Linked DNA regions of Caenorhabditis elegans. The protein of the gene in region 3 interacts with the protein of the main gene of each other region in a pairwise test. Each region holds a gene or a part of one and is shown on either strand. Other genes may lie near its edges.

Evidence for each region.
Region 1: the proteins of nhr-76 (region 3) and lir-3 interact in a two-hybrid assay, tested with the Caenorhabditis elegans proteins (one large-scale study listed by BioGRID).
Region 2: the proteins of nhr-76 (region 3) and Y69H2.10 interact in a two-hybrid assay, tested with the Caenorhabditis elegans proteins (one large-scale study listed by BioGRID).

What each region holds. Positions count from the first base shown.
Region 1 is NC_003280.10:11,182,188-11,186,906, reverse strand, and holds lir-3 (Transcription factor lir-3), read left to right. Parts: upstream 1-2,099; 5' UTR 2,100-2,100; coding exon 2,101-2,169; intron 2,170-2,219; coding exon 2,220-2,392; intron 2,393-2,837; coding exon 2,838-2,990; intron 2,991-3,053; coding exon 3,054-3,162; intron 3,163-3,210; coding exon 3,211-3,476; intron 3,477-3,663; coding exon 3,664-3,748; 3' UTR 3,749-3,832; downstream 3,833-4,719. Other genes in the region: sfxn-1.2 (Sidoreflexin), read right to left, coding at 66-286, 779-854; bigr-1 (HAD family phosphatase), read right to left, coding at 3,877-4,146, 4,194-4,280, 4,329-4,403. UniProt on the Caenorhabditis elegans protein: Positively regulates the RNA polymerase III-associated transcription of small non-coding RNAs.
Region 2 is NC_003283.11:18,668,024-18,676,421, forward strand, and holds Y69H2.10 (TIL domain-containing protein), read left to right. Parts: upstream 1-2,300; coding exon 2,301-2,382; intron 2,383-3,249; exon of another isoform or gene 3,250-3,316; intron 3,317-3,326; coding exon 3,327-4,109; intron 4,110-4,158; coding exon 4,159-4,335; intron 4,336-6,385; coding exon 6,386-6,481; intron 6,482-6,539; coding exon 6,540-6,814; intron 6,815-7,647; coding exon 7,648-7,783; intron 7,784-7,826; coding exon 7,827-7,996; 3' UTR 7,997-8,096; downstream 8,097-8,398.
Region 3 is NC_003282.8:625,515-633,915, forward strand, and holds the start of nhr-76 (Nuclear hormone receptor family member nhr-76), read left to right. Parts: upstream 1-2,022; 5' UTR 2,023-2,035; coding exon 2,036-2,095; intron 2,096-2,228; coding exon 2,229-2,556; intron 2,557-4,175; coding exon 4,176-4,241; intron 4,242-4,616; coding exon 4,617-4,793; intron 4,794-5,008; coding exon 5,009-5,127; intron 5,128-5,180; coding exon 5,181-5,392; intron 5,393-6,282; coding exon 6,283-6,509; intron 6,510-6,556; coding exon 6,557-6,666; intron 6,667-8,186; coding exon 8,187-8,330; 3' UTR 8,331-8,401.

The DNA.
Region 1 (4,719 bases), on a different chromosome or scaffold from region 3:
GAGTCAACTCTGGCCAATATTTAACACAAACTTTTTTGTGTTGCTTCAATTGGTTTTATATGTACCTGTGCACTCATTCTTCCCAAGAAGAACATCTTCTCCCCGGTATCCGGATGATACGTGGAATCATACAACGTCTTTGCCTTCCACAACTCGCTCACAGTCAACGTCGGACTGACTTTTCCGTTCTTGTAGTCCAAGACAATTTGTCGGCATTGCTCTTGTCGTGCAACTGATGAGGTCAGGGTGAGTGGGTTAGTAAGAGTGAAAAAGTGACGGACACGACCTGGAAAAGAGGATTTCTTTACAATGTAGGTTAATAAATGTTAAAAATCAGAAGTAAATCAGATTGTAATTTATTGATTTCTGGCGTTTCCAAATTTTCGGGTCTCTCAAGTTCAAAGCGGCACAAGAAAAGTTTGAGCCAAAGTGTTCCAAGAGTTTGATCAAACTTGGGACAAAATCTGGCGCAGCCTAAATCCAGGTCTTGTCAAAATCTTGCCCAACTTTCGCCGAAGTTTTGCCAATTTCTCATCAACGTTAATAGTTTTGGGCAAAACGTGGGCAAGAAGCTAGAGCCAAATACCGAATAATTCGATGAAAAAGGTGTCCAATGTGCTATTATTGAAAAAGGTGTCCAATGTGCTTCGCGATGTGCTATTATTCACTTTGAAAAATGCAAGAATTTTGCAATGCACCGCACATTAACTTTCAGATACATCCCATCTAAACAGTCTTAACTTCGCTGGCACTTTTTGGCAACCTGAAGAATTCTTACCGTAATATGTCCTTTGACTCCATTGTGGCTTCGATATATCTGGACGAGTCTTTAGATTGCTGACAAGCTCACTCATTTTAATCAAATGAGAACTAATAAATGAATTGTTCTGTGGTTTTGTAACGTTTTTTTTGTTTCTTTATTTTTAATTTGTTAGACCGTGATTTACGTGGCACTTATGTATATATTTTTAATTGTCTCATATCCAAATTTTATAATTTTTCAGAATTGAAAAACTGAAATATAAACTTCTGAAAAAAAAGAGTTCCTCTCTCCCGTTTTCAAACGGAAATTGTGAGTCAGAAGTTTTGGTTTCAGAGAAGGCAAGAGGAAAAAGTACAGCAGCGAATTGTTTAGGAAACTCTTTGATTATTCATCATTTGTCAGAAAAATTGTGAAAATAGAAGGAAGAGAAAATGAACTGAAAGTTTCAAAAATTTTCTGGCTTCATCCGGCAGTTTTTTTTTGCAGCAAACATTTTTTGAATTTTTTTGAAATAATTTTTAAAGCATTTTTAGTGCTCTAGATTATTTTAGGATAAAAACCCATCAACTTAAATATAAAAAAATAGTCTTTTTATCCGAAAATAATTTTTGTTTTACTTGAAACAACTGCAAAAGTGCCGAGCAATACGAAAATTGCTTGAAAAACCAGAGAATTTATCGGAAAAAATTTCCGGCAATTTTTGTGCACTTTTTCAGATGTTCCAAGTCAAATAAAAATAATTTTCAAATAAAGCAAAATAAATTTTCCGAAATACGGTAGCTTTAAAAAGTTACAATATTCTTAAAGTCCCCACCCAAACCTTCTTTATTAAAATCTCCCCATCACCTTTTTGCAATATATTGCAAAATCCAACAGCTATGCATTTGAATCCAAACAGCAGTCTCCGCAGCCTCTCCCTCTCTTTCCTTCCCCCTTCCACCACCCAATTCCCCAGTCCGTCAGTACACGTATGTCTGTACACTCTTCATCTTGCACACTCTCTCAGTCCCCACTCACTGCCTGCATCGCAGCACTGCTTGTCCTTCGATCGATGACCGCCTGCTGACTGCTGTTGACTGCCCGCATGCTGCTGCCTGCTGGCTGAATTATCTCATCACTATAGGCCACTTATGCTCAGTTTTTTTTCTTTGTTTCTAGAAATTCATTACCGTAGGATTTTAGTAGGAAATTATTTGAGTTTTTTTCAACCTGATTTTTCGCCGAGAATTTAGGAAAATTTGGAAAGAAAGGGAGGATTTTTTTCAAGGTTTTTTTCCTCATATTTCTCCGAATTCTTCCGTGACTTTTAAGATATTGTAACTAATTTTTTTCTCAGAATGGATCCAAAATTTCTCGTAGTAGAAATAGACTCAAAGGAGCGAGCACTTCAGTTGGTTCAAGTTATGGTGGGTTTTTCTAGTGAAAAATAACTAAATTGGAAAAAAAAAAGTTTCAGCTAGAAAATGGATTTGCTCGATTCATGCTGTTGGACGATCTTTCGCGACACCCGACTCTCGACAGAATCCAGAGAGAAGAGCCAAGAATTTCAAGAGATGAACTCCGTGAAACAGCTTCATCTCCTGTCACATTTGAAACTCGACATTCTCCATATCCAGTGCATGAGCAAAAGTAGGTGGTTTTTTTTTAAATATTTTTTATTTAAAAAATGGAAATTTTTGAGATCAAACCTTATATTTCACAAACAATTCAGAAAAATTCACTCTTAAAAGAACCAATAAAAAAGGTTTTATTTTGTCGAAAACTTCTCTTTCGCCAAAAAAAAAATTTCCGAAGCCTCACCTTCTGCCTTTATTTGCTGTATATTCTCTACTAGTCTTTCAAAAAGTTATATCTCGGTTCATTTCAAAGATATCAATAAATAATCAACAGCAAATCTATAGAAAAACATTTAACAAATATTTTGTCAGTCGAAAGTTTTTCAATAAAACAAACGACAACTGAGTTATCAAATTTATCAGTTGGTTGAAATACTATTAGAGGAAATACGGTATAATACTTAGCAGAAAAGTTTTTACAAATAAAATTTGCGACTTTAAGTTCATCAAATTTTCAGAGTTCTATTTCCATCGTTTTCACAAGTTTCGAATTCAATGGTGACATCTACGGGCATCCGACAGGAAGCTTCAAGTGTTGGTGTTGGACCGATTGAAGACGACGATATTGTTGAGGAGGAGGAGGAAGAGGATATTCGACTTACTAGCAAGCCGTGAGTTTATCTACTTTAATAAATCTACTGGACATTCGAGAAATTAAAAAAAAAAGATTTCAGGTGTGTCAAACGCCGTTATGATCATCACGCCGAGGAACAGGAGTATAGAGATCAACTGATGAGCTTGTTGAGTGGAGAACCGGAAATTGTGCCTATAGGTGTCAACTCGGTTAGTAGTTTTTTCTATATTCCAAGACTCACAATTCCTCATTTTCAGAACGACGAACCATCTGGCTCCAACTCGGATTCTGCCGCGAAAAAGGCCAAATCCGTCGGCGACTACCATGAATGTCAGCTCTGTGGAGTTCGAGTCAAAACGCCTAGAAGCGGTCGATGGAATCTCCAAATGCATGTGATTGCTCTTCATTGTGTTGGAAGACAATATAAATGCAAGCAGTGTGATTACTTGGACTATCGAAAATCAACGATGAGAAAACATACGGTTTCGCAGCATGGAAGTGACATTCCGCCGCATAATATTACGTGAGTTTTGGAGTTTTTTCAAATCAAAATTTCAAATATAAATATTTTAAAACAATACCTAAACATCCCCATGCTGCTAGAATCAATACAATTTATTTTAAAAAGGCTTTGAAATATTAATTGAAATGAAATTATTTGTGAACAATTTTTGTAGAAGTTTCAAATTTAAAAAATCATATTTTTCCAGGGACAACATAATGAAAGCTGAATGGCATGCTGCAATGATAAAATGTTTCCCTGAATTTGCTCACAGAACTGGGTTCTTAAACTGATTCATCGCTCTCATCGCCAAATTATTTATTTTTTGATACCATTCCAATTTATTATATTCCTGATAAAAAGTGACAATTTGATAATTATATTGCAGTTATAAAGCGGTTAGATATACATACATCACCAATTAGATCAGCTTAACCTTAGTGAAACCCTCAAGTTCATGAATCGCCTTTTCAATGTCTTCTACTAAAATTGTGTTCCATCCGAGCTTTTCTGCAGCTTCAATGTTTTCATGGAGGTCATCCAAAAACACAATTTCCTCTGGTTTGACTCCGAGTCTTTTCTCAACTAAATGATAAAATCGAGCGTCTGGTTTCATGAGATGCTCCAAACAAGATTCTACAACTTCATCGAAATGTGTCAAATCGCATGGAAGTCTGGTTTCCTTGTGCTCCTGAAAATCATTGAACAAATTTTCAATATTGATAGGAACTCGATTACCTTATCTAAGAACATGTTGTTTGTCAGCATGGCGGTTTTGAAGCCCTTCTTGTGAAGAATTTCCACGGTTTTTTGCATATTTTTGTGCTGAAAATGCTAGGTTCAGGGCAAAGTTTAGAAACATTTTAAGCTTACAATTTTAACATTTTCTCCACGAAGGCACTCGGTGAATGGTTTTATCACAACGTTGTCAGTCAGCTTGTTTCCATACTGAAAGTTTAAAAAGTAAGAAAAAATTTCAAAAACTTTGTTTTGAAAATAAGGAAATTCATGAAACTTGCAATAAATTTGAATTTCAAACTTCCTAAAAATGTAGGAACGATGTTTCAGCTGTATCTTTCTGAAATTTTTTCCAAAAAATAAAGTCGATGGAACGTTCAAGTTTTTTTATAAAAATTGATGGATGTTCAGATTTAAATTCTCCAAAAAATCTTGGGGGAAATTTACATGTATTTTTCGAAAAAAATTGAAATTTCAAAACTTCAGAAAAATTTGGCGCATGTACCAATATGCATATTTTTTTGTG
Region 2 (8,398 bases), on a different chromosome or scaffold from region 3:
ATTTTTTTTTGAAAATTTGGAAAAAAATTTTGGAAAATTTTTTTTTGAATTTTTTGAATTTTTTTCTAAAATTTTTAACTATTTCTATTAGCTTCAGTTTGCACTAAAATTAATTATGATTTTTTTTAAGCAAACTAGTGGTTTATTGCCATAATTTGGATGTTTTTAGACAGCGAGCAATTTGTGTTGTCGATTTCCATTGGCCTGGTTTCTACAGAATATAGGACTTTTAGTGATATGCAATGAAAATTACGATTAGTACATATATAATATAATATAATATAATATATAATACAATATATAATACATAATACAATATATATATAATATATAATTATATATATATGTATAATATATATAAATATTATATATATATATATATATATATATATATATATATATATATATATATATATATATATATATTATATATAATACATAATACATAATACATAATATATAATACATATATAATATAATTACACATATATAATATTTTAATCAAAGTTGTATAAATATGTTAAAACATTAAATATTGCAAAATATTTTTTTTGAACATTTTGAAAAAAAATGTTTTGTTAACTTTTCGAAAAAAAATATTTTTTTGAAAAACTGTTATTTTTTTCAAATTTCAGTATTTTTGTAATAGTTTGAATTTACACAAAAGTTAAGTACAATGTTCTTAACATACTGGTAGTTATCTCTAAAAATTGAGCAGTTTTTTGAGAACGAGCAATTTGTGTTGTCGCTTTCTTTTACATAGGCTGGTTTAGTTGGGAATTATGTGTGACCTTTTCAGCTAGAAACGGACAGAAAATGATATAACAGTCATATAAAGTTTTAAAAAAAAGTATAGTATAGTAAAACAGAAAATTTGGAAATACAATTTTTTTTTAAAGATTTTTGAAATTTTTTTCTTGCAATTTCAAAAAAAATTTTTTTTTTGAGTTTTTGGAATTTTTTTTTCAAGTTTTGAACTATTTCTATTAGTTTGACATTATGTAACACATTATGACATAGAGATTATGTACAATTTTCTCGACAAATCAGTAGTTAACGGCCAAAATTCGGCTCTTTTTAGACAGTGAGCAATTGGTGTTATCAATTTCCATTGACCTGGATTCTTCAGAATACAGCACTTTTAATTATAGCGAGGCAATGATAAATTATGATTTGCAAAATTTAATGAATAAATTTTTTTTTTTGGATAATTTTGAAAAAAAAATTTTTTTTTTGAGAAATAAAACGTTTTTTTCCAATTTTCTGAATTTTTATTCTCAAATTTTGAAATATTTATATTAGTTTTAGTTCACACTAAAATTAAGATTAATTTTCTTGACAAATTAGTAGTACACTGACTAAATTTGGCACTCGAGCAATCGGTGTTGTCGCTTTCTTTTAGGCTGGTGTATTTGGAAATTGTGGCCCTTTTAGGTATAAAAAGACAAAGTTGATGTTACAACAAGAATGTATATAGTTAAACAACATAAAATGTAGTAAAACTAAAATTTTTGGAAATCAATTTTTTTTTGAGATTTTTGAAAAAAAAAATTCTGCGATTTTCAAAAAATTTTTTGAATTTTCTGATATTTTTTTCTCAAATTTTCAAAGAATGCTTATTCATGCAAATCCACACAAAAATCGTAAGTTTTCATAAGCCAACCAGTTTTTAACTACAAAAATTTGCCACTTTTTAGAAGTCGAGCATTTGGTGGGTGTTGTCGATTCCCCCCCCCCCCCCCCCCTCAGGCTTGAAAAGCCGGCTAAAATCTAGTTCCTCAGGTAAACTTGCACCGAAGTTACAGAAATAGACATCAGGAAGTAAAAAAAAACAGTTCTAATTACCAAGCAAACAAGAAAAATCAATCAAAAACTAAATACACAGCAAATATTTACAAACATAAAAAAGAAAAAAAAAATCAAAAATTGAGGTGCAAAGTGGGCAAAAATGAAATCTTATGACTGGAAAAATAATCAGATAACTGCTTATAAATATAATTTGAATAAAAATAGCAGAAAAAAATTTTGAAAAAAATTTTTTTTTTGAGAATTTTGAAAAAATTTTTTTTTTTTTTTTCTGAAACTCCCCTAAAATGTGGAATTTCAAAATTTTCAACAATTTCGTCAAACTACACCCTCAGAAAAGTACAAATCACGATGAAAATCTCTGAAATCCCCCCATCGCCGTTTGTTTTTCCAATTTACGACCACCAAACCTCTCTCCCTATCGGCTTAACTGTTGGTCTAAACCTCGAATTACTATAAAATAACATATTTTGATGTCATTTGACATTGGTAATATGTTCACAAAAACATCATTGCTAGGGTTACTGTATTTATGCGCTATTTTGATCGGTTTTCCAGAAAAATCGACGGGAAGTGGTGGGTTTTTTTGTTGACCTTTCTTGAAAATTTATGATTTTTAAACTTAAATTTGTGAAAATTTGAATTCAGCTCATTATTAGTTTTCAAACACGTATAATCATGACTATATTCCGATTATTTTGAAAATGTTGGCCTCTACGTCCCTATAAAGTCGTGGCGGGACCCAAATTTCCAATTCGTTAGATTCTAGTCATAATCATACTTTTTTTTTCAAGTTGCTTGAAGTGAACTAAATCTGAGTATTTGAACATTTTTAAAATTTGCACCAGGTTATCGTGGTGGGACCAAAAATTTTGAAAATTCAAAAATTCCTAGAACCTAGTCATGAGTATACTTATTTTAAAGCTCTCGACGCGCTCATTTTCATAATTTAAAAATTTTGGAATTCGCAGCAAAACTGTGCGAGTTGCGGCCCCCTTCAAGTTTTCGTGGTGAGACCCAAAATTTTGAAAATTCCAAAATTTCGAGAACCTAGTCATGATTATTCTCATTTTAAAGCTCTTGGCGCGCTTATTTTAATAATTTTTAAATTTTTAAATTCGCATCAAAACTGTGCGAGTTATGGTAGCTTGTTTCATCAGTATACTTATTTTGAAGCTCTTGACGCGCTCATTTTCATAATTTAAAAATTTTGAAATTCGCAGCAAAACTGTGCAAGTTATGGTAGCTTGTTTCATTTTTGCGGCGAGACCCAAAATTTTGGAAAAATCCAAGTTTTCAGAACCTAGTCATGATTATACTCATTTTGAAGCTTTTGGCGCGCTAATTTTAATAGTTTTAAAATTTTAAAATTCGCCCCAAAACTGTGCAAGTTACGGCAGCTTTTTACATTTTCGTGGCGAGACCCAAAATTTTGAAAATTCCAAAATTTCTAGAACCTAGTCATGATTATACTTATTCGAAAGCTCTCGCTCTGCTGAATTCAAAAATTCTAATTTCAGACCCCCTACCAACAACACCCCCCGCCCCAACAGTATCCCCATATGGAAATGAGACCCTTCCAACACTGTTCCCACCGCTGGTATTTCCGAACTTCACCGTACCAACGCTGAACCCAATGGCGCCAGTACCACCACCCACATTTGGTCCAATTCCTGGCCTTGGAAATTTCACCCTACCTACACTTGGCACGCTGCCAGGCTTCGGGAACTTTACCCTTCCAACTTTTGCCCCACTGAACCTTAGTTTCCCGGGGCTTCCAACAATGGCTCCGCTGAATCTGAGTCTGCCAAATTTCATGAATTTCACACTTCCAACCATGCCAACATTTGCTCCCCTGGTGCTAGGCGATCTATCCAACTTCACGCTACCTACCCTTGCTCCGTTCAATCTAAGCCACCTGGGACTTGGCACCATGCCAACTTTTGCACCACTGAACCTGAGCTTCCCAGGGCTTCCTACGATGGCTCCACTAAACCTGAGCCATTTAGGTCTTGGCACGATGCCAACTTTTGCTCCACTGAATCTCAGTCTCCCCGAGCTCCCCAGCCTTCCTACAATGGCCCCGTTGAACCTGAGCCACCTGGGACTTGGCACCATGCCAACTTTTGCTCCACTGAACCTAAGCCTACCCGCACTGCCTACCATGTCCCCAATGAACCTAACCATCCTAGGACTCCCGACGATGGCTCCAGTGAATCTCACCGGGCTCCCCACATTGCTTCCGATCACCAATCCGCCATCAATGGGCACTACAACCAAGCCACCTGCGGCCCCCAGTACTGGTAAGGCTTGGACGATTATATTTTAGGCTTCAAGCTTCTCTTTTTCCAGCCTGCGGATCCGCTACATGTACCTCTACGCAGGTCTGCGCGTCGCCACTAAACTCGACACAGACCTGCATCCCACGGCTCCCGGATCGCCGTTACTGTATTGATGAGCCGTGTCAAGTGGGCATGAAGTGCTTTGATAACGTCACTAGCAACGCCTACACTTGTTATACCAAACTGGGTAAGGGGTACTGTAGGAGTGCTGGAGGGTAGGGCCAGTGGGGAAAATTGCTTTAAAACATGCCTATGGTACTACAACGACCGAAAATCATAGTAAGAAAATTTCAAAAAAATTTCAAAATTTTATATGGTTTTTTGAAAATTGAAAAAATCTCGAATTGCATCAAATTCCCATTTGTATTACGCGCCAATAGTTTTTGAGTTGCTTGAAGTCAACTAAATCTGAGTATTTGAAAATTTTTAAAATTTGCGCCAGTTTTAGGTTATCGTGGTGGGACGAAAAATTTTGAAAATTCAAAAATTCCTAGAACCTAGTCATGAGTATTTATTTTAAAGTTATTTTAAAGCTCTCGACGCGCTTATTTTCATAATTTAAAAATTTTTAAATTCGCATCAAAACTGTGCGAGTTACAGTAACTTTTCCGTTTTCGTGGTGGGACCCAAAATTTTGGAAATTCCAAAATTTCTAGAACCTAGTCATCAGTATACTTATTTTGAAGCTCTTGACGCGCTCATTTTCATAATTTAAAAATTTTGAAATTCGCAGCAAAACTGTGCAAGTTATGGTAGCTTGTTTCATTTTCGCGGCGAGACCCAAAATTTTGGAAAAATCCAAGTTTTCAGAACCTAGTCATGATTATATATTAATTTTGAAGCTTTTGGCGCGCTTATTTTAATAGGTTTAAAATTTTAAAATTTTCTGAAAAGTTCGATGGAGCGCGCTTGTCATTGTTTAATTTTTATTTTTCAATTTTTCACATTTTTGATTGATTTTTCATGTTTTTTTGCATAATTTTACTGAAACACAGTGAAAAATGTGAGATAAATGCAAATTGTTCACTAAAAATCAGTGAAAAACAGAGAAAGAACGTTTTCCAATGACATTGAGCCTTCATCTCCACTTTTTAATAAAGAATTTGCATTTATCTTAAATTTTTCACTGAATTTCAGTGAAATTACGCGAAAAAACACGAAAAAATCAGTCAAAAATGTGAAAAATTGATGAATAAATATTTAAAAATGATGCAAGCGCGCTCCATCGAACATCAAACTATTGGCGCGTAATTCAAATGGGAATTTGATGCAATTCGAGATTTTTTCATTTTTCAAAAAATCATATAAAATTTAGAAAATTTTTTTTTGTCAAAAAGTGGCAATTACTCAGTTTTTGCCACTCATGGTCGAGACATGTGATATTTCTTTAAATTTTCTCAAATGCTCGTTTTTTTCAAAATTTTGGCCATTTGCCAAAACTTTGACCGGAAATTATGAAAAATCGAAAATTTTTTAGAGTGTTTTATTATGATATTCGGTCGTTTTTGATCATTTTAAGTGCATTTAGACAAAATCCCCAAAATTTTAGATTTTCAAGTCGAAATTCGGATTCCCCACCAAAAATTACCCCTGAGCCCCGATTTTCAGAGCTCTAGTACAAAATGTCGTCAAATCCGGTGTTTTGGGTTACTGTAGCATGGTGTTTGCGAACCCGGCACCAAATTTGACGGAATTTTGCGCTAAAATTCTGAAAACTGCGGTTTCGGGGTAATTTACCATGGGGAATTCGAATTTAACATTAATTTTGCGAAAATTTGATGTTTGGGCCAAGTCACAATGGGAAAGTTTTTTTTTTCAGTTCTTCAAACAAAAATTTTTGAAAAATTGAGTGAAAATTCGAATTCTCCACCCGAAATTACCCCGAAACCCCAAGGGTGTCGATTTTTCGATTTTTTTAGAAAATCGAAAAACGAAAAATTTTCGATTTTTCGATTTTCGAATTCTTCGAAAAAATTTTCGATTTTTCAAAAATTAGCTTAATATTTTCGCCGTTATTCTTCTTTTTAGAGGAAATTTAGATGTTTTTTTCTTATCAATATAAACAAAATTCGATAAAAACTCATATTTTATAGTAAACTTTTTGAACAATTTTTTCTATTTTTCGATTTTCCAGAGAATCGAAAAATCAAAAATTTTTCGATTTTTCGATTATTCGATTTTCACCGAAAAATATCGAAAAATCCTAACTAATCAAAGTTCATCGAAAATTTTATCAGACGGCACCGCCGGTGAATGCCTTGGCATCAAGTGCTCACCCGGAGACATTTGCTTCCAAACTATGGGAAAACCTGCCCAATGCATACAGCTTAAGCGTGAGTTCCCCCCCCCCCCCACACCCCACCCCCTCAAAAAACCCAAAACCCATTCCAGAAGCCCCAAAATGCGTGGGCGCCAACGAGGAGTTCTCGGCGTGCAAGTCGGGCTGTGAGGGTACCTGTGAAGAACCGTCCCCGCCGTGCATGAACTCGACCACCTGCACGTCAGGATGTGCCTGCATACGTGGTTATGTGAGGATCAATGGGGTCTGTGAGCTCATGTCAAAGTGCCCGGTTACTGTAACGGAAGGTGTTTCGTGTGCTGGCGCTGAAGTCTACACGGCGTGTATGCCAGAGTGTGAGAAAACGTGCTCAGGGGTGCCGAATCAGGTGAGCATATGTCATTTTTTTTCACTTTTTTCGTTTTTTCCCCTTGTTGTTCTTTTTTTTTTCATTTTTTGCGTAAAATTGGGCTTTGAGACAGAAAAATTCGAAATTTTCACAAATTTTTACGTCTAAGAGAATATTTATAACGAAAAGTGAAAAAAAATAAAAAAAGTATGGAAAAATAATGAAAAAAAATGTAAAAAAATGAAAAAAACAAAAGAAATTTATCATTTTTTTTCTTTCTTTTTTCTTTTAAAAAAATTGTTTTTTCTTTCTTTTTTCTTTAAAAAAATTTTTTTTCTTTCTTTTTTCTTTTTTTTCCTTTTTTTTCCTTTTTCTTTCTTTTTTCTTTTTTTCTCTTTTTTTTCATTTTTTTTCATTCTTTTTTCATTTTTTTTTCATTTTTTTTCATTTTTTTTTCATTTTTTTTTCTTTTTTTGGTGAATTTTTCATTTTTTACATCAAAGCATTGAACAACATCGAGCACCCGTTTAATATGTGGAAAGAAATCGCATTCTGAATTTGGAAAAATTAAAATTTAAATTAGTGAAAAAAATCAATAAATTTTCAGAAAAATCAAAAAATTTCAGAAAAATCAATAAATTTTTAGAAAAATCAATAAATTTTCAGAAAAATCAAAAAATTTCAGAAAAATCAATAAATTTTTAGAAAAATCAATAAATTTTCAGAAACATCAAAAAATTTCAGAAAAATCAATAAATTTTTAGAAAAATCAATAAATTTTCAGAAAAATCGATTAATTTTCAGAAAAATCGATAAATTTCCAGAAAAATCAATGAAAGTCAATTTAATTTCTAAAAATTTGAAAATTTCAGTTCTGTATCGAAGCCAAAAACGGAACCGCTACCACAAAAGCCCCGGCAAAATGCCTACCCGGGTGCACTTGCCGGCCAGCTTACAAGCGAGATTCTGACAGTGGCCAGTGTGTCCATTCCAGGCAATGTTTTGGGAGTAAGTCGGAGCTCAGAATTTCCAGAAAAATCAATATTTCCAGCAACCAAATGCAGTGACAACGAGGCGTGGTCCAAGTGTCATAACTGCGAAAAAGTGTGCTTCCAAACTGCAAATCCGAGCTGCAAGGCTTGCTGGAGTGGCTGTGGATGCTTGGATGGGTTCTCGAGGAGTACTACTGGGCTCTGTGTGGAGACGGCTAAATGCTTCTGAAATTTCTCTGATTTTCTGTGAAAATTGTGTATTTGGATATTGGAAATGTATAAATAATTTTTTGGTGAATATTTTCTTGTGCTCAGCACCACAAAATAAATGGAAAATTTGAAATTCTCGTAGTCGAATTACTCGAAAACTTGAATAATGATTTTTCCTGGCGCACTTTAAGTGCCTTGGCGAAATTCTAGTGCCTTGGCGCAATTCTAGTGCCTTGACGCAACTCTAGTGCCTTGACGCTATTCTATTTCCTTGGCGCATTTTTAGTGCCTTGACGCAAATCAAATGCTTTGGCGCAATTCTAGTGCCATGACGCAATTCTAGTGCCTTGACGCAATTCTAGTGCATTGAAGCTATTCTATTTCCTTGACGCATTTTTAGTGCCTTGACGCAATTTTAGTG
Region 3 (8,401 bases):
GGGCAGTTTGCCGATTTGTCGCAAATTTTGATATTCGGCAAATTGCCAATTTTCCTTGCAAAAAAAAAATTTACAATTAGAGGGATTTTTTATAAAACGGAAAAACTTAAAACTGTGCCTTTTTGAAATGTTCGTCCCGTTTCCTTTGAATGTTTTCATAGAATTTGCTTACTTTTCAAAATAGATGTAGGAACATTCATAAGATGTATACAATTTTGCCTTTTAAAATTGAAATTCTGGGAATTCCAAAAAGAAGTACAAAACCACAATTTTCCAAAAATTTTCGGCTAATCGGCAATTTGGCAGTTTACCGATTTGCCGATTTGCCGGAATCGAAAAAACGTTTACTTTGAAAATCTAGAAAAATATTTCGCACATATCTTGTCCGTTGACAATTTTTTGATAAAATCAAAGGGAGCCGAGATATCTATCAGCTGTGAAAGTGGTACGAGGGTAGGATTTATTTTTTAATATTTTTAAAATTCAAAATACTCGTGTGATCTCCGAACTTGTGTTCGCCCCGCCAAATCCTCATCCAATTTTTCATTTTTTTTTTAACCAATAAACAAGTATCAAACTCTTTCTTTCTTTTCCTGATGTTTCTCTGTCTAGGCAGACTGCCCCCGCCTAACCCCGCCTCTGACGGCCGGCAACTTGCACTTTGAAAAGAGAGCGGAAAAGAAACATAACACGAACGAAAAAAAAACCACTAAGAGATAGAAATATGTTGCCGATTCCGATTCTTTTCAATTCATTCTGATTACAATTTAAAAAAAATGTTCTCAAACCAAACACATAAACAAGTGTGTGCACTTTTGATAGAAGGATGCAGGGGGAAAGTGCAAGATGTCATTCATTTTTTGAAAACCGAAAAACTTGACAGTTAGCCACTCCTTCTCCCTACCCAAACTGTCTGCGTCTGCCGGTCGTTCTATTTTTCCTATTTTTTCCTTCGTTTTTTTTTGCTTTTTTGTTCGATATCACTTGTTCGCCCGTCTCCCTTCTCTGCCGCTCGCAACATTTCGCATCTGTTTTCCCAAGTTTCTGATGATCACTTATCTTGTCAAGTTTCGATTGCAAATTAACACTATCTAGCAGTTTAGAATGTGATTAATACTGCTTTTGGAAAAATATTTACAAAAAATATTTAGTTTCCCAAAAGTTTCCCAAGTTTTAAGATAAATGGTTCTGAAATTCTGAAGCTTAAAGTTCATATTTTTCAACATTGGTGTTTCTGAATAAAAATTTTACGCAAACTAGAGTTTCCATACAGGCTTCTAATGCGTACCTACCTGCCTCCCCTTAAGGTGACTTTCGCGTGCCTTGCGCCTTCCGCTAAAACACTTGCCAATTCATTGCTCCTTTCTTAACTTTGTTTTCAACAAATCGATTGAGATGAGGAAACTTTCAACTTCTAAATTCAATTCTAAATGCAGATAAAGGCAGGCAGGTTTCAGGCAGGCACAGGCCTTAAATTCACTTTTGGAATTATTCCTATAGTTAGGATATTTCACAAAATTTAAAAATTCTAATAACATTTTAATTTTCGGCATGCATGTTTTCATGCCTGCCTACCTACTACCTTATTACCTTTGTTTGCAATTTCCAATCTCAATTGATTTTTTGAAAATCATAGGCATAAGGTAGGCGTAGGCCGCCTAAGAATAATAATAAAATATCCGCTGTAAATATATGTCAATCACTTTTTTTGATAATTTTTTTTGATAATTATCATACCACATGTGTATCAAATATGAAATTCATATGAAATTTTCATGAATTGGAGATTTGGCTACCTGCCTACTTTAAGACGGCCTACGCCTACCTCGTGCCTCACAACATTTTCCCTGACCTACAGTAACCCGGAAAACTTCCTCATACTTCCCCAACTGGCAGGTTTCTTCCGATTACTCATATCGTTCGTTACTTTTATTTTACAATAACCGTATTTTGTAATTATTTGATATGTTTTCTTTCTTCAAATAAAATTTTTTTTTAATTAAAATTTTCAAATTATTTCAGATTAGTTAGCAAAATGGAGGTGCTCGGGAAGCAGAAGGTGTTGGCCATGATGAAGCTGAATGGTGCTGGACAGGTGAGCTACTGCCGGTTTTTTTTAGAATACCGGCTTGGCTCAGAAGCCGATTCTCGGCTAGACTAAACCGGCGCACCTAGATACAATAAATGTTGTGCCAAAACTATAACTTACTCGATCAGAACTTTTCCAGCTCACCGGGTACCCCTTCGAGACGCCTTCATCCTCCACCACAACACCTTCAGTACCTCCTTCCTTCCCACACTCATCAAATCCCAACGCCTATATGAAGCCATCTCCACCATCAGCTATATCATCACCACCATCCACATCATCGTGCTCCTCGGCTTCAGAGAAGAAAGAGTGTGCGGTGTGCAAGAACCCCAACTCCAGTGGATACCATTTTGGGTGTATTGCGTGTGCCGCTTGTTCAGCGTTTTTTCGACGTACCGTAGTGCTTTCGAGGAGGTACTACTGTAGGAGGGATCCAGTTGGCAACTCGCTGTGTCCGCTGGATAGACGTTAGTTCATTTTTTACCGTACCCTTTTTGTGAGGCCCCACGAAAAGGGAGCAGAACGAAAAGGGGATCTGCAAAAAGGGGATCTGCGAAAAGGGGAGATACGAAAAGGGGAGTTACGAAAAGGGGAGCAACAAAAAGGGGAGCTGGCACTGTGCCAAACGCACAAAACGCAATTTTTCTCACGCAACGCACGTTGATTTTTGAAATTTTCTTCTGGAAGATACGCTTAACAACACGCGACGCGTAACATCGGAGCATCGTTGTATCGTTTTCTTCGAGAAAAATAGCATTTGGCACAGTGCCAGATCCCCTTTTCGTTGCTCCCCTTTTCGTATCTCCCCTTTTCGTATCTCCCCTTTTCGCAGATCCCCTTTTTGCAGATCCCCTTTTCGTTCTGCTCCCCTTTTCGTGGGGCCTCCTTTTTGTAGACTTTGACCAGCTTCGGCAAACGTGAGAGATATGAAAAAGTGAATTTGATAACCGGATTCTAGAACAATTTTTAAACTTTAGTGAACAACTACAATAATCCTATGACTTTACTAGACTCGAATAGTAGGCAGGCACGCCTACATGCCAACATGCCTGCCTGAGTGAATACTAGTTTTTATAGTAAGGAGTCTACAGTAGGTAGGCAATTTTTATTACTTGGCTACCTGTCTTCCTAGCTGTCTATTTTCTGATTATTGGCGGTTTACACGGTGTAGATTTCCAAACGTTTGTGTAAGAAAATGAGCAAAACATTTATGGACGTATGTAGGTACGAGGTAGGCCTAGGTCGCAGTTTTGCCTGTGTATTTACAGTGTAGATTTACGTATTTCTCCTTTTAAGTGAGCAATAATTACATTTCCGTAGGCAGGTGGTAGGCCTAGGTTGCCCAATAGGCAGGCAGGGAGGTAGGTTGCATTGTTGGCAAAAGGTAAAGGTATGTACATCCAACTTGACATGGAAATTGATTGCAACTGTTGCAACTATTATTTTGCAACTATAACATATTCCTCTGGGAATAAAGGGCAAATTTTTGAATTCTAGCTTTTTTTTTTGTAAAATTCAGAGCACAAAGTTGAATAGGCAGGTTCGCAAAAAGGCAGGCAGGTAGCTATGTGCGTAGGCATAACTGTGCCTAATTTCAATTCAAGTCTAGCACGAAACTTTAAAAAAAAACTAGAAACAAATAATTTGTGAGAAAATTTTTTTTGGCATTTTGGCATGTATCCAAAATTTTCGATTAACTTTTTGGTTTGTCTGGCATTGCTTCGTTCCAATTTCATTTCCCAATTTCCCATGTTCTATTTCCAAATGTGGCCAATTGTGTCGATAACGGCAACATGATTCAATTTTCAATATATATTTCCCTTTTTCTCTTTCTCTCACTTTTTTGTCTATTCAACTATGAATTGAACACTTACAGTATTCGATTTCTAGTCACCAGAAAACAAAACTCTATTCTATCGAACGAAAATTGCTAGACAGACAAACAATTTTATCGGGGTAAAATTATGTAAAAGCCCCGTGTGTTCTGCTTATCAGTAGTAATAGTAGTGGTGCGTACTCGAAAAAATTTGTACAAATCAAGCAAATTTGACAAAAATGACAAAAAAAATCAACTTCCTTGTTTCAGGACACCGATCAAATTGTCGAGCATGCCGATACGTAAGGTGTATCGATATGGGGATGAATCCGAGCAGTAAGTAAACTTTTTTTTCGAGAATTCGGAGATTTTGATCTCTGAAATATGAGTTGTTCTTGTCGAGAAGATGGAATCTGTCTAGGGGGAGAGGGCGCAAAAAAGTGAGAGCGCCTAATTGTAGGTACGGTATGGCCTGCCTACCTGTAAAGATTCACCTATTAAGCTGCTTAACATCACAGTAAGACTGTGTCCCTGAAAATGACGGGCGCATAAATTTAACTCGAAGGTAGACAGTCAGACACATAGGTATGTAGGCCTTTGAACGGCTGATAGGCTGGCAAGCATTCACTTTGATTGGCAGGCAGATAGTCGGTAGGCAGGCGCGTAGACATGTAGGCAGGTCGGCACAAATAAAATAATTTCCGATTCCAGGCGTCCAAAACCTTCGAGACTCGATCAAGCCACGGTCCCCAGCAGAAATGATTCAGGAAGCCGAGGAGGAGGATAAAAAGGAGAAGCTCGACGATATTCTGTTCTCTGCTGCAACTCCGGGTAGTTGGATATCCAGTACGAGCACATGTAATGAACCACTTCCAGTTGCTCCAAAAGGTGAGTACGAAAATGGGGCACCACGCCCGCCCTCTGTAAATCCTGCGGCCGACACCTTGCGGTTCACGAGCCCGTTGTTGGCTGTCGGCTGCAAGTCGATGAAAAGGCGAGCGTGATGCCCAACAGTCTGAACCTGCTTCTCTCATCCTTTTTTAAAACCTGATCCTTCCCATGCTTCTTTAATTCCAACCCATCCCAACTCATCCAAAGTTCAGAAATTCCCGGCGAAAACTACATCGAAACCCTTGCCGCACTATACAAAAACTCTGTGGAGCGACGTCGAATGTTCTACTGTAACGGATCACTTCGCGAGATGCTCGGAGGCACCGGCTTAGTAATTACTGTACTAACTATGGCTTCTTTTTAGCAATTTCTTTCGGATTTCAGAAGATGCGACCAACGAGATTTGACGAACGATATTACAAGGAAAAAATGCGATTTGAGTTGGTTTTGTACGTGGAGATGATGAATTCAATGAGCGTGTTCCGACAGATGGACCTGGATACCAAGGAGACATTAGTCAAGGGATGTGCTGTGTCATTGGCCATGCTGGAGAAATATTATATTTCTGTGAAATATGATGGGTTGAGAACTCAAAAGTAGGGCTTTGCATTTTATTTTTATTGTTAGGGTACTTTTCTAGTACTCTATGGCTACTGTAGGATAACTCTAGTTTTAGGAAAAAATTGTTTTCGAAAAATTCCACAACTTTCTCGATATTTCTAAAAATATTTCGATTTTCTAGAGACCTTTACATTCCAGAATTTTCCAGAGCGTTCCAGACAGTTTCAGTAATGCCCAGATATTTTTAGAATTTTTTGAAAGGTCTAGGTCATGTCAAACTTACGAGAAAGTTTCCGAATATTCCAAAAAATTTGTTTCTAAAAAGTCCCTGAACATTCTATGCTATTTCTAGAGAGTTCCAGAATATTCAAAAATTTATATAACTTTCCAGGAATTTCTAGAAATGCTCAGGAAGATCCAGAGTTCTCAGAACATGTCAGAATTTCCTGGCATTTTCCAATATGTACCATTTTTCAGAAAATTCCAAAAGTTGTTTCACGTTTCCAAAAACATTTAGTGTTTTCTAGAGCGTCGCAGAATACTTGAAAGTGATCTCAAATTTTCCAAAAAAGGTTCCAGGACGTTCGAGGATTTTTTGAACCATTCTTGAAAATTCTAAAAAACTCTCAACATTTTTTCGGAAATTGCAATTCAACAATTCTGGTCATTTTTTTTTTTGAAAAATAAATTAAAGGAAAAAATCTCCATTTTTTTCGATTTTTCAACTTTTCAATTCAACAAAATTTCAAAAAAAAATTACCTAAAAAATTTGACCGAATTTTCTTTAAAAAATCGAAAATATAAAATTTTTTAATTTTTCGAATTTTCAATTTTAGAATACTCCAGATTTCATCACAATTTTTCTCGCATTTTCTTGAGAGCATCAGAATTGTTCTACTCTCTGCAAAACTTTTCTCGATTTCAGACTAATTGCTCCGGACGGGTCCTACACGGATTTGAGTGATCATGGTGCTCAATTCGACGACGAATTCACACAAATCACCGAGTCTGTCATGGACAAGGAAACGTGTCTGAAACTGCTCTACGACCCGCTGCGGTCGTGTTTGAACGAACTTGGATCCGCGTTAGAGCACTCTAGAATGACAGACACCGAGTTTTGTGCTCTTTTTGCAATATTGTTATTCAATACAGGTTAGTGCTGTCTGGAAGAGAGGTGTCAATTGAAAGTGCAATTTCAGCCGCTGATAACTTATCGGACGCGAGTCGTAACGCCGTAGTGATGGCCAGAAATCGGGTGATGAAGGATTGGTTCGAGTTTTATGCGAAACAGGGGATAGACCCACATGAGGTAGAGAAGCATCCTTCATTTAAAAATTTCGTGATCTTAAATTTTCTAGAAGATTCTGGTTTGTTCTGAACGTTTATGAAAATCAAAATTGTCTGAAAACACCGAATTTCAAAATGAAACTTCTTGGAAACTTTTCAAAAAAAAGTTATGGCGTCTCAAAAAATGGCCTAACATTTGTTAAAATTGTAAATTTGACCAACTTGTCAATGTCACAGCGGCTGGAAACAATTTTTTTTTTGAAATCACCGTCAAATTTTAAGTACACAATGTAATTATCTTGCGCGTTTCCAACTTCATTTAGTTGTTTCAAAGTCGATGGACGGCAAGATTTGGTTAAAAAAATTTAAAAAAAAAGCAATTAAAAAATTGGACTACACCACTGCAACTTTTTTCAAACGGGGGCCTAGAAAAAATGCAAAAAATCGGTGTTTGCACACAATACACCGCATATAACGACATTTTGTACTTGCTTTGTTTTCTTGTGTTTTTCACCGATTTTTCCCGTTTTTTCTTATTAAAACTGATAAATAAATATTTTTTGCCAATGCTAATATAATTTCCAGATGAAAAAATTATGTATTCAGTCGGCAAGTAGCGGTGAAAGTGGTCAATGTTATATGATGGATTACGGGAATACTAAACCTAAACTTTTTTCCAAACATGATAAATATGCTGCTTAGATGCTGAAACTACCTGATTTTCATAACGAGACCGCTGAAAAAGTTTTGAGATTTTTAAAATTCAACATTTTATGCGAAAATCTCTACTTTTTCACCAAAAAAGTTGAATTTTGAAAACCTCAAAATTTTTTTAGCTGTCTCGTTATGAAAATCAGGTAGTTTCAGCATTTAAGCAGCGTATGTATCATGTTTGGGAAAAAGTTTAGGTTTTGTATTCCCGTAATCCATCATATTACATTGAGCACTTTCACCGCTACTTACCGACTCAATACAGACTTTTTTCACTTGGAAATTGTTTTAGCATCTGCAAAAAATATTTATTTATTAGTTTTAATAAGAAAAAACGGGAAAAATTGGTGCAAAACAAAAGAAAACACGCGGAAAACAAAGCAACATAAATGGCCGCTGAAACTTGTCGGCCCCTCGGCCATGGTCTAGAAACCACTTTTCCTCGTCCCTCGTGAGGAAAAAGTTGCAGTGTACACCACCTTTAAATGTGTTAGAACTTTCTAGAGATTTCGAAAATATTTGAAAAGTTTCTGGGATTTTTGGTAAGTTCTACAAAAACTGAACTATTCTGGACCACCTATTTGAAAATTTCAACAACAATCTAAAAAGGCTTTCTGGAAATTTTGAAAAATCTTGAAACGATTTCGATCAAAATTTCTGTAAGATTTTCGATCATTCATTGACCATTCATCCCTAGAAAAGTCAAAATATTTCTGGAAAAATCTAGATACTTCTCTTATTCTGAAACAGCGGAGAGGCCGCTGAGCACCTAGATGTTTTCTCTGCGCTCTCCTCCTCACCTACGCTCTCTCATCCTCTTCTAGTTTCCAGGCTGGTCTTCTCGTGGGCAACACGTTGCTTCTTCTGACAGCCGTCCGCAATGCGATGGCAGTTCACCGTGAAAATTTTCACGTGATTCGTGTGTTCAATGTGATGGAATATGATAAATTAATTGATGATCTCGCGTTCACGTAACCCCAAAATGTCCTGCAGTTGTACATAGAATACCCAGCCCGCTAGAAAATACTTTTCGCTAGAAATTGATT